Sus scrofa: one gene and its partner. The protein of the gene in region 1 interacts with the protein of each later gene in a pairwise test. Links are inferred from orthologs where the notes say so. Each region holds a gene or a part of one and is shown in the gene's direction. Other genes may lie near its edges.

The links. The genes of interacting proteins can lie anywhere in the genome.
Region 2: the proteins of WDYHV1 (region 1) and NCOA5 interact in a two-hybrid assay, tested with the Homo sapiens proteins (3 studies listed by BioGRID and IntAct). The two-hybrid records come from large-scale screens. The link is inferred for Sus scrofa from reciprocal best matches to the Homo sapiens genes NTAQ1 and NCOA5.

What each region holds. Positions count from the first base shown.
Region 1 is NC_010446.5:15,991,136-15,997,578, reverse strand, and holds part of WDYHV1 (protein N-terminal glutamine amidohydrolase), read left to right. Parts: intron 1-4,372; coding exon 4,373-4,472; intron 4,473-5,711; coding exon 5,712-5,762; intron 5,763-6,443. UniProt on the Homo sapiens protein: Mediates the side-chain deamidation of N-terminal glutamine residues to glutamate, an important step in N-end rule pathway of protein degradation.
Region 2 is NC_010459.5:48,235,010-48,241,452, reverse strand, and holds part of NCOA5 (nuclear receptor coactivator 5), read left to right. Parts: coding exon 1-126; intron 127-1,858; coding exon 1,859-1,995; intron 1,996-3,414; exon of another isoform or gene 3,415-3,467; coding exon 3,468-3,594; intron 3,595-5,677; coding exon 5,678-5,877; intron 5,878-6,443. UniProt on the Homo sapiens protein: Nuclear receptor coregulator that can have both coactivator and corepressor functions.

The sequences.
Region 1 (6,443 bases):
ACGACCGGAACTCCTTTTATCTCCGTTTTAAAGGTGAGCACGTTGAAGCACAGAGGTGTGCAAGTCATTTGCCTAAGGCCACACTGCTTGGGAGCGAAGGAATGGCGAGTTAAATGCAGAGTTTGTTTCTGGAATACACACACTGTACCCCCTATCCTGGGCCACTACTGTGGCTGAATCACTACTCTTATCGTGATTCTTTTCATTCCCTTTCCCTTACTTGATTAATGACTTCTAACCCCAATTTCCATTCCCTGCACAAGAAACCTTAGGGCCCTCTAAAGCTGCCTTTCTCTCCTCAGCTAGTCACCAAAGTAATGCTGGGAAGAGCTTGACATTCGTTCAGCTCTGACAGTGTGTCAGGCCTAGTACTTCCATCCGTCTTTGGGAGGTAGTTTTATTATTATCATTTCCCTCATTTTACCAATGAAAAAACTGGGCAGAGAGACCTGTTGTTTGCCCAGGATCACACATCTGCAAGGGTGGTGCTGAAACTGGAACCTCAGTAATGCCAGAGTCTGGAGTCCGTGCTTTGTTTCTGCCCTGCCTCTCACCTGGGTTCTGTTCTTGTCCCTAACATCCCCTCATTGTTTTGTCAATTCAGTAAATGTTTATTAGGCCCTTGGAGTGTGAGATGCACAATTTTATGCATGAGGGAGATAGCAGTGAACAAAATAGACATATTCCCTGGTAAGAGGTTTTTTTTTTTTTTTTTTTTAAGGTTGTACCGGCGGCATGTGGAGGTTCCAGGCTAGGGGTCGAATTGGAGCAGTAGCTGCTGGCCTACACCACAGACACAGGATCCAAGCCGTGTCTGCAACCTACAACACAGCTCACGGCAACGCCGGATCCGTAACCCACTGAGTGAAGCCAGGGATGCTAGTCAGATATGTTTCTACTGAGCCATGACGGGAACTCCCCCCTGTAAGAGTTCTTGATTTCTTGATTTCTTTCTTTCTGGTTTTTTTTGAGTGCATTTGTTTTATAGTGTTTTTAATTTCTGCTGTACAGCATAGTGAGGCATTCACACACACACACACACACACACACACACCCACCCTTTTTTTTTTTTCATACTATCTCCCATCATGTTCTACCCCAAGAAATTGGATGTCCCTCATAAGATTGCATAGTTCTCAAATTTCGATTGGGGGAAAACAGGCAAAACCCCTTTTAACCATGTTTGGGTTTAAGTGGTAGGAGAAAGCTAGAACAAGTTAAGGGGTAATGACTCATTGTGTTATTAGGAGATTTAAAGAAGACATTGTGGATAAAGTGATCTTTGAACAGAGATCTGAAGAAAAAGAGGGCAGGAGCTTTGTGGATATTGGCAGGAGGCCACTTCGGGTGCAGAGGCTCTCAGAAGGAAGTGTATCCTAGAAACGGCAGGGAGGCCGGCACAGTTGGAATGGAGAGGCTTGGGGGAAGGATGGTGGGAGATGAACTTCACTTCAGTAGATCGTCTCCTCTAATTCCTTCAGCCGAGGGCCAGACCCTCCTTACCTGGCCCTCGGGGCCTCTTCCAGCTGCCCTTCCTGACAGGCCTCTCTGCCCAGCTCTCCCCTGTCCTTAAGGTCTTTAACTTCAGCTGGCTTCACGTTGCTCACATCCCTTCTAAATTTGAACGTGTTGGAGAATCACCTGGGAGCTTGTAAACTATGCAGATCTCCAGGCCCCACCACAGAGCTGCTGGGTGTGTGAACAGCAACCTGGATGAGTCTGAGGCTGGTCTGTGGATCATATTTCAAGAATGCAGCCTTTGACAATAAAGTCTGCTTTCTGAGCCTAGTAAGCCCTCTAAAGATCTAGTCACCACCTGTTCCTTCGGTCTCTTTGTGAACTTGCCTTTCCTGCCCTACCCGAGGGTTTTTCAGCTTTGCCTCTGTTGGCATTTTGAGGTGGCAATTCTCTGGGGGCCTGTCCTGTGTATGGTAGGTTGTGTAGCAGCATCCCTGGCCTCTGCACACTGAATGCCCGCCCATTCCACCGTCTCCCAGTTTGTGACAACCTGAAATGTCCCCAGACACTGCCAAATGTCCCCTGGGGCTGGGGCAGAATCACTTCTGATGGAGAACTGGTGCTTTGTCCTGTCTGAACACATCGGGTAGGTATGCCTTTCTACACTGGCTCCTGTGGGTCCTCCTAGCTTGAAATAAATGCCTCCTTTCCACTTCCGTTAGCTTCCATCAGCTGTTACTTATCTTTTAAGACCCAGCCTCATGAGAACAGTGATAGCCTGTGTTTGTGTGGCTCTCTGTAGTTTGCAGAGCACTTGTGATTCTTTTATAATGGTGTTGGATTTTTCAAATATTTGTTGAGCACTTGCGTGCGCCTGGATCCTCCCCTTGAGGTCCTCTCTGACTTCAGCCCATCACCGGTAGCCATTCTTGCAGAATCCTGGCCCTAATGGTGCTTTGTCAGCGTTTCTCCTGCCAAAGTAATCAACTGGAACATTTCTATTATCATCCCCTCTTTTTTTTTAAGAAAAAACAGTTAAATGGGTTTCAGGAGTCACACCAAATCCAGGGCTTTTTCTCTGCCAGTGTTTCCACGGATAAGGCTCTCTTTTTTATTAGCATCACAAGTTTTACGAGATCCTTCTCCATGATAGTAACTGTACTCTTGAAAAAATTGATTAAAAAAGGACGAGAAACCCAGTAACTGTTACGTTTAAATTTGTTTTTTCTCTGCGTAACATTCACGCGTGTTTGAAAAGTAATAGGCGAAGTATGTCCAAGTCACATGTGTAATTCAGCTTCTTACCAGTAGTGCTTGTGGTACATGAGGATTTTCGAACCTTTTGCATTAACTCGGTGCCCACCCTTGGAATGTGCGAGGGGAGCAAGGAGCATCCACTGACCTACACCTCCTCCATCTTCCTGTATCCTTCAAAATGAACGCCTCATCTGTGCTTGCTCTATGCATCTTTCATGCCTTCTGTGATGCTCACTTTTTTATGGATCTGTATGGCTCCTCTTGCTGGCTCGTTACATTCTCCAGGCACTTAGCAGTGTGTGGTGTACATCACAGGCTCTTGTTTGTGGTCAGCTCTCCAAAATTATTAGGCTGGACAGACAGATGTTGTCTCAAAACTTGGTCTGAGAACATCCAGAGTAAAAAAAAAAAAAAAAAAAAAAAAAAAAAATTAGCTACTACAAGTTGTGTGGTACTGAAACAGTAAAATTTTGTTCCTCTGTGCTACACATCCTATGGAATTAGTAGCGATCTCCTGTTTTTACCTCTGCCATTTTTTTCTCTAAGGGTTCTTAGATATTTCAGGGGAAAATAATATTACCGGAGAAAAATGCAGACTCTCCACTTCAGTAAGCTTAGTTGTTTAGATCATTGAGACAGGTAGACAGGGCAAGACTGAATTGAAAGTGTGTCTTTCCACAGCATGGCTATAGTCCTTGGTGCCGTTTGTGCCTTGCCTCATCTTCAGGTGGCATGGTGTAGGTGGCTGGAAATTGGATTTTGACACAGTGAGTCACTTGTGTGAGCAAAATGTTGGTGTAGCTCATTTTGAGCCGAGGTGCTGTGTAGCTCACTAGAAAAAGACAGAAGCCCAAAGGCTGAACTGTGGCTTCCAGCGTGGCTTGGTTTGATGCCCTGGGCATTGCATTACTTGGGCAGTTCTGACCACTGCTTCAGAGAGCTAAAGGCATCTCATGTAGAAGAGAGATTCATCTGGGGCAGGAGTATAGGAATACAGATTTCAGTTCAGTATGAAAAACAGCTTTGTAAAAGCCAGGACCCCCCTCCATTCCAGGGGGGCCCAGGGAATACCACTCACAAGGGGCTCCCTCCAAAGAATTCCTGGGCATAAGACAACTGTCCCAGTCGTTTTTCAGTAAGGAGACCTCCTACCCCAGACACACATCCTGCCCCATTCCTAAGGGGAGCAGGAAACCAGTGTTAACTAAGATTGAGTGTTCATCACATGCTGTGGTTATGATGGTTGTGTCCATTTTACAGAGGAGAAAAGCAGGCCTTCAGAGAGGTCAGGATGTCTGAAGCTTCCTACTTTGTATGTGGCTGAGTTGGAATTCCAGCTCCATCTCAGGGCCCTGGATTATAGATTATAGAAGGCTGACGTAGTGTTTGAGCGGTGTTAAAATGCCTCCGTACAGTAGCACTGCTGACAGAGGTCCTGAGCTCTGTCTGTAGATGGGGTCGGTCACGAGCAGTATAGTTTGGTAACAGCTTGCTGGGGGTGTTTTAGAGGAAGTTCTGTCAGCCAGTTAGTTGTTGGATGAAGTGGTGATTATGGTTGCTTCCAACTTTTTTATATCGTCATCAGTCTTTTGTTCAAATTTGAAAAACAGCGCGTTCTTGCTTGCATTATATTGCTTAAGCAATTATTTTATTTCAGTGAAGAAAATATTTGGAAGCTCTGTGAATACATCAAAAACCACGACCAATATCCATTAGAAGAGTGTTACGCTGTCTTCATATCTAATGAGAGGAAGATGGTAAGTTGGTGAGTGATTGCAGGAAGAAGACAAGTTTAGGATGGAATCAGAAGCGAAATAGAGCATGAGTTTAGCACTGACCTAAAATGTGCTTTACAAAATATAACAACATTTTAAAGTTTGTTTTTGAATGAGATTTTTTTTTTTTCCCTACCAGAATGTGGTTGAGTTAGTAGAGTTTAGTCCCTTATTTGTAGGTAAGGAAATATGTGATGGTATGGTTATGCAAATTAAGTCCCCTCTCCTTGGATATTAAGTTAGAGCTTTTTATTTATTTTATTTATTTAAATTTTTTTTTTTTTTGTTCCCCCGTCTCCTCTAAGGCCGTACCCGCAGCACGTGGTTCCCAGGTCAGGGGTCCAACTGGAGCCGTAGCTGCCGGCCTCCGCCAGAGCCACAGCAACTCCAGATCCGAGCCTTGTCTGCAACCTACACCACAGCCCATGGCAACGCCAGATCCTCAACCCACTGAGCGAGGCCGGGGACTAGACCCGCAACCCCATGGTCCCTAGTCGGATTTGTTAACCACCAAGCCACGATGGGAACTCCTATTTTTTTTTTTTTTATTATTTACTTATTTATTTGGCCGTGCCCGTGGCATGTGGATGTTCCCCAAGCTGAGAATCCAACCCGTGCCATGGCTGTAACCAGAGCCACAGGAGTGACAACGCTGGATCCTTAACCTGCTGAGCCAAGAGGGAACTCTTAGAGCTTCTTAAATTGCTTAGATTAGAAGCACACATTCTCAGGTTTGATGTAAAAGATTTCTTTGTTTTTGGAGTTTTAATGGAACTCTAGTAAACTTATAGGAAGTATTCAGAAAAGTCAGCCTTTCATAATTGTAAAGCTCTTTTGCAAGCCTCATCTTGTTTGATCCCAGTGGAAACCCTGTGAAAGAGACAAGGTTCAGACAGATGTCTGCATTTTATAGATGAGGAAGTAGAGACATGGGGAGGTCCTGTGAATAATTAAGTGGGAAAGAAAGACTTGAACCTGCCAGGCCTTCCAATTCCTAGTTCAGGTCTCTTTCTACTCTCTAGAGAACATCTTATAATTAATTATTGCTCTTTCATTGTTAAGGACACTTGGAAGGATTTGGATTTCTTCCTATAATTCATTTTTTTCACCTTGATTGTTGGTTGATTAGAAACACTTTATTTTTCATGTATGCATTGCTTTAAAGAATTTATTAGTGGTTTAACTGAAGTTGTGGCTTAAGAAATTTGTTGAATTTTTCAGATTCCTATCTGGAAACAACAGGCAAGACCTGGAGATGGACCTGTGATCTGGGTAAGATCATCAACACGAACAGCCTCTGATGCATTAGTACTTGTAATCTGTGAATGGTCTTTGTGTTTTGGTAAAGCAGAAATTATGGGGCAGTAGATGAAGGCTATGGTAATTATTAGTAATTTGACCTTTTGCCAATAATTGTCATTTGGTCTAAGGTTGAAGCACTTAGGACATGTGTTCTTTTAATTTTGAAATTATTATAGGAATGATTTTAAGTGGCTGATGTGGCAGGTATATTTGTGTTCTGGACTCTTGTCTGCTTAGCACTAAAAAGAACTTTAGCAGTATCTAGTCTGGCGGTACAGTAGAATGATCCAGAGACTGTTAAAAATAGAGGTTTCTTTTTCCTTCTTTTCTTTGCTTTTTTCTTTCCTTCTTCTTTCTTTCCTTCTTTCTTTCTTTTTTCTTTCCTTCTTTCTTTCTTTCTTTCTTTTTTTCTTTTTTTCTTTCCTTCTTCTTTCTTTCCTTCTTTCTTTCCTTCTTTCTTCTTTCTTTCTTTCCTTTCTTTCTTCTTTCTTTCTTTCTTTCCTTTTTTCTTCCTTTCTTTCCTTCTTTCTTCCTTTCTTTCCTTCTTTCTTTCTTTCTCTTTCTTTCCTTTCTTTCTTTCCTTCCTTCCTTCCTTCGTTCTTTCTTTCTTTCTTTCTCTTTCTTTCTTTCTTTCCTTCCTTCCTTCCTTCT
Region 2 (6,443 bases), on another chromosome or scaffold:
TGCTCGGGACCTGAGGGATCTTAGAGACTTTCGTGACCTAAGAGACTCTAGGGATTTTCGAGATCACCGGGACCCCATGTATGACAGATACAGAGATATGAGAGACTCCCGAGATCCTATGTACAGGTACATGTACAGCTATTTCATTCGTCTTTTGTATGTGTGTTCTGACCTAGTCGAAAGCTCTACAGCACTGACTTCATTAGCCCTATGTGTTTCCAGTGTCTTATCAGATAGTAGATGTGCTCCTCAAATATTTGCTGAGTGTGTGAATGGTTGATAGATTATGCTTAGTGAATGAACCTAGGTCTCCTCTTGTGGCTTATGAAAGGCAGCATTGTGCAAATGGAAAAAAAGATGGAGTACAAATTGTTTTGGTCATGTAAAACCATAGGAAAGATACACAAATGGCCAATAAATACCTGAAAAGATGCTTGACGTCCTTCGTTATAAAAAAAATGCAAATCAAAGCCACAATGAAATACCACTTCATACCTACCAGGATGGCTACAATAATTTTTTTTTTTTTTTTTTTTTAAGCAAAGTAAATGTTGGAGTTCCCACTGTGGCACAGTGGAACCAAATCTTACTGGGAACCATGAGGTTGCAGGTTCGATCCCTGGCCTCACTCAGTGGATTAAGGATCTGGCATTGCCATGAGCTGTGGTAGAGGTTGCAGACGTGGCTCGGATCTGGCATGGCTGTGGCATAGGCCAGCAGCTGTAGCTCCTATTGGACCCTTAGCCTGGGAACCTCCATATGCTGCCAGTGCAGCCCTAAAAAGCCAAAAAAAATTTTAAAAATAGAAAAGTAAATGTTGGCAAGGGGTGGAGAAATTGGAACTCTCATACATTGCTGGTGAGACTGTGAAGTAGTATAACCACTGTGAAAAACAGTTTGGTGGTTCCTCAAAATGTTAAATATAGTAGAGTTAATGACCCATCAGTTCTCTTCCTGAATATATCTCCAAAAGAATTGAAAAGAGGAACTCACACAGATGTATGTGAATATACATAGAAACACTCTTCACAGAAGCTGGAAAGTAGACACAGCCTAAATGTCCACCAGTAGATGGATTTAAGCAGTGGTATATCGATACAGTAGAATGTTATTCAGCCATAAAATAGGCAGTTGTAACACCTGCTGAAATCTTGATGGACCTTAAAAACATTATGCAAAGTGAAATAGGCCAGACAGACACAAAAGACAAATATCATATGATTTCATTTTTATGAAGTATTTAGAAAAGGCAAATTCATATCAGACACAACTTAGATTTACAAGGAGATCCTGCTGAGTAGCATTGAGAACTTTGTCTAGATACTCATGTTGCAGCAGAACAAAGGGTGGGGGAAAAAAATGTAATTGTAATGTATACATGTAAGGATAACTTGATCCCCTTGCTGTACAGTGTGAAAAAAAAAAAAGGCAAATTCAGAGACAAAGTAGATTAGAGGTTACAGAGATGACGAATGAATTTCTGTTCAGAGTGATAAAAAGTGTTTGTCTTTTTTTAACTATAATTTAAAAAAAAAACAGGGAAGGAGGTGGGGGCATGGAATGAGTCCTCAAAACTAAAATTATCGATAATTGCTACCAGTTATTTTGTATTTACTTTAGGCCAGGGATCTTACTTTATGCTGAGAGCTTTCTGTACATCCTCCCAGTCATTTTGGAAGGTAGGTTAATAACTCAGTCACAGCCACAGAGCTGATAAGCGGTAAATTGCAGATACTAATCCCAAAGTCCTATGCTTTACTATGCTTACTACCTCACAGACAACCGGGGCTTAAAGAATTCTCTGTATTTGATTTTTGCAGGATAGGGCTAATCTTGTGCAAATTTCTTTTAACTTCAGGAGAGAAGGCTCATACGACCGATACCTGCGAATGGATGACTATTGCAGGAGGAAGGATGACTCTTACTTTGACCGTTACAGAGATAGCTTTGATGGACGAGGCCCTCCAGGCCCAGAAAATCAGTCTCGTGCAAAAGGTAAAGTAGCAGAAACAGTTTATTCTTATTACTAATAGAACACTTGACAAAAGAAAGAAACTGATAACCGACTGGAAGGAGGCTAATGACTTGGCTAAGCAATTTACAAAAAAAGAAATACAAAGGGCCTATTCATATATAGAGAGTACTCATCTTAAAAAATATTTGTAAGGAGTTCCCATTGCGGCTTAGTGGTAAAGAACCTGACTAGTATCCATGAGGACACAGGTTCAATCCCTGGCCTGGTTCATTGGGTTAAGGATCCAGCGTTGCAGTGAGCTGTGGTGTAGGTCACAGACACGGCTCTGATCCCGCATTGCTATGGCTGTGGCGTAGGCTGGTGGCTGCAGCTCCATTTCAACTCCTAGCCTGAGAACTTCCATACTCCATGGTTGCAGCCCTAAAAAGGCAAATTAGTACCATCATCTAGCTTAGTCATCTAACAAGAAGAAATAAATATGAAATTCCAGCATAAGAAAAGAAATAAAAACAGAAGATTGGAGCTGAAGAGGTTAGGTGCATGCTTTTTCCCCATTGATCAAATAACTACAACTATCTGCATTATGTATGTAGCATGTAGGATTTTTTGTTTTAGTTACAATTTTTACCCAACAGCATCTACTTTTTGAGTAAAGACAAACATTTTTTTAAGAGCTTTGTTTTTCTCAATACATCTTTAAAGATTTTTAAGTTGTTTCATACTTGGTCAAGAACTTCTTTTGTTTTTTTTCTCTTTTCTGGGCCACACCCATGGTACATGGAGGTTCCCAGGCTAGGGGTCTAATCGGAGCTGTACAGCACAGCTCTGTACAGCACAGCTCACAGCAACACGGGATCCTTAACCCACTGAGCGAGGCCAGGGATAGAACCTGCAACCTCATGGTTGCTGGTCGGATTCATTAACCACTGAGCCACAACGGGAACTCCAAGAACTTCATTTTTAATTTGTTATAAAACTTATACTTTACTGCCTCATTTTTAAAAAACAATTACAAGTACCTGTCTTAAATAGTTATCCCAAAAATGAAAATTAGAATAATAATGAAATACCATCTTTTACCTATCAAGTTGGCAGGAGTGGCTTTTTTTTTTTTTTTTTTTTTTTTTTTAATGACAGTACTCAGGGTTGACTAAGATGTGGAGGAACAGCACTAGGTGATCCACCCCTGTGAAGGAATAAATTAGTTACAGCCTTTCTGGAGGGCATTTTGATAGCATGTTTCAGATTAAAATAGTACCTTCAATCCAGATTAAACCATACCTTTTAGTCCAGTCATTCCATTTCAGTGAATTTGTAGTAAAATAATAATGGTTAATTTTAGGAAATAGTCTAGAGTATTAATTCAGAGAGAGAAAGTGTATGTGCTCAGACCTTCGCCTACAAGTAGTTCGGGATTCAAAATGAGGCTTGTGACTTACTTTCATAGAAAGGTACAGTCCATGTTTCAGTTTTCCTTGGTATTATCTTGCAGAGCGTTTGAAACGTGAGGAACGGCGAAGAGAAGAGCTTTATCGTCAATATTTTGAGGAAATCCAGAGACGATTTGATGCTGAGAGGCCTGTTGATTGTTCTGTGATTGTGGTCAACAAGCAGACTAAGTAAGAACCCTTTGGATGTTTCTCCTCTGTAAGAAGGGTCAAAAGAGAAATTCAGGCTCCTTCTTGGCAGCCATACACCGGACTTGGACTGTGTATTCTGGCATTGCTGCACTGTGTTAGTCAGAGTTCTGTCAGTTTAGGTGACAGAAAAAGCAATGCAAACTGGCTTAGGTCCCAAAGGGAAATTTTTAGTTTGTTTGACTGGGAAGTTCATCCAGGGTCAAACTGTCATAAAGACTTGGTATCTGTATTGCCTTCATTCTCAGTCCTTTTTTTTTTTGGCTCTTTTTTAGGGCCACACCATCGACATATGGAGGTTCCCAGGCTAGGGGTCAAATCGGAGCTACAGCTGCCAGCCACAGCCACAGCCACAGCAACACACGGTCTGAGCCGCATCTCCAACCTACACCACAGTTCACAGCAATGCCAGATCCTTAACCCTCTTGAGGGAGGCCAGGGATCAGACCTGCAACCTCATAGTTCCTAGTCAGATTCGTTTCTGCTGCGCTACGACGGGAACTCTCTCACACAGGCTTTCTACTTGAAAAGGCAAAAAGACACTGGCGCTAGGCGTGTATCTTCTTAGCTTTGCAAACCCATGGAAAGAGAGCGGGTCTTTCCCATTGCTTCCACCTGAAGTCCTGGAATTGATTCTCATTGCATTGTCCTGTGACTTATTTCCTCATCCCTTAACTAGTCACTTTGGCCAGCAGTGCTGGGGTGCCTAATTGGCCAGGGCTAGGTCATGTTCCCACCCCCAGGGCTAAAGGTGGGATTAACCCTGTGGAACCATGTGGACTGAGTGCGAAAGAGGTGCCTTCCTAAAGGAGAATTGAAGAGGGAATATATGCTGATCAGGGAAACAGTAGACCTCCCCTTGATGGGACAATCCCACATCCCCAAGCCGTATATCTCTGCGTTGTCAGCCAAGAGCCAGGTCTTCTTTGTGAAGTGCCATGGCCTTGCAGAGCTGGTAGGTGACCATGGTAGTCAAGCCAGAGTTCACAGCACCGTTTTACTCCGTCTCCCTTTCGCATTCTTTCCTTGAAGAAGCAGCACGGAGGTGCAGAAGGGAGTATAGCAGCTTGTAAGCTTGGCAGTGGCTGTGTTCCCTTTCCCCAGGTGGTTAGTAAATAACTTCATGTGTTTTCTAGCACTTTGGGGTTAAAGAGCTGATTTCAAGGAAGAGATTAGGGAAATAGGTGTTGAGACACCAAGCAGCAGGCAGAGTTCACAGACTCTGGGCTGCCTTGTTTAGAAATAGATGCTGCTTTAACTTATAGATAGCTTTTGTTTTTTCTTTTTTCTTTTTTTTTTTTTTTGACATACAATAATAGCTATCATTTTCTGAGCACCTACTGTGTACTACCCCATGCTAGGCACTTTAAATTATTTTTTTGCTCTTCACAGTCATCATGTTTACCTGTGTATTCATTCAGCACATTTTTTCTATGTATGGCAGGTGCTAGGTCCTGGAGCTGTAATGCTAAGCAAACACACATGGGCCCTTCCTCTTGTGGAGCTTATACCCTAGCTGGACAGATGACAGAAATAAATGTATTGGTGATGAGTCCTAGAAGAAGAAATATATCAAGGATCTGATTTAGATTGGAGAGAAAGTCAAGGAAGTGACTTATGAGCTGAGCCATATTATTCCTGTCTTATTGGTAAAGAAACTGAGGTTTGTAAGAGGTAAAGGGACTTGCTTAAAGCTTCAACTTTGCAAGTAAATGTTAGTGCTAGGATCCAAACCTATCCTCCTAGCATTTAAAACCCATACTTTTCCCACAGTGTTGTACAGCTGCTGCAAAGACAGACATGTGCCACAGGTCAGTAGGATGGTGTTGAGGAACTGTCATTAGACTAGAGAAGAGAAGGACCTGGGTATTAAATACTGTAGCAATGACAACTTCATGTATGAATATTCTGGGCCAATATGAAGAGAAGGAATCGGTCTAGATCTTTGGAACCTGAAGAGAGCTCGAGGGAGCACGGGGAGGGCACACAGCTGACTGAGGTGCCTTAGTTTGCACGTTAGGAGTTGGTCAGGGAGTGCTCACTAAGATCCTCTTTGTTTCTCCAGAGATTATGCTGAATCTGTGGGGCGGAAGGTTCGAGACCTAGGCATGGTAGTGGACTTGATCTTCCTTAACACAGAGGTGTCACTGTCACAAGCCTTGGAGGATGTTAGCAGGGGAGGGTCTCCCTTTGCTATTGTTATCACCCAGCAACACCAGATTCACCGCTCCTGTACAGTCAACATCATGTTTGGAACCCCACAAGGTATGGAGGCCCAAGTGGGTCAGAATGCCAGAGGTGGTCACTAGTCCATTTTATGCCTTCCTCAGAAGCAGCAGGTTTTAAGTAAATGTATTTCAGCTTAAATACATTAAGTGGTAGGGCCCTTTTATAAGGGCACTGGCAGAGGCTAGTGTAGTCATTTATTCATCTGATATTCTTTCATTTGGTGTAGTTCTGGGCCTGCTGTATTTGACATTATATTTAGCCCTTAGGTATATACAGTGATGTGCTGGCAAACGTTTAACCACCAGTTCTGGGGTAGGGGACGGTGTGGTTTATAACATTTGCTGATTGCCATGGTGTAAATACTCCCACTGTGTTCTATTTCAAGCCACCAACATGAAGTCACTTCAGGGCGAGTTGGGAAGAGATGCACACAGTCTGCTCTCTCCAGTGAGAGCCAGCTCCAGCACGGCTCTGGCACGTACTATGCTGTGTGCTATACAGTCCTCGCTTTCACCAGACTTTCTAATGAGGGACAAAGAATACAGCAGGCAGTTAGGATACTCTTTGTAAGTGTGCTAGGGAGGTGGGCGGAGGGACTGTGA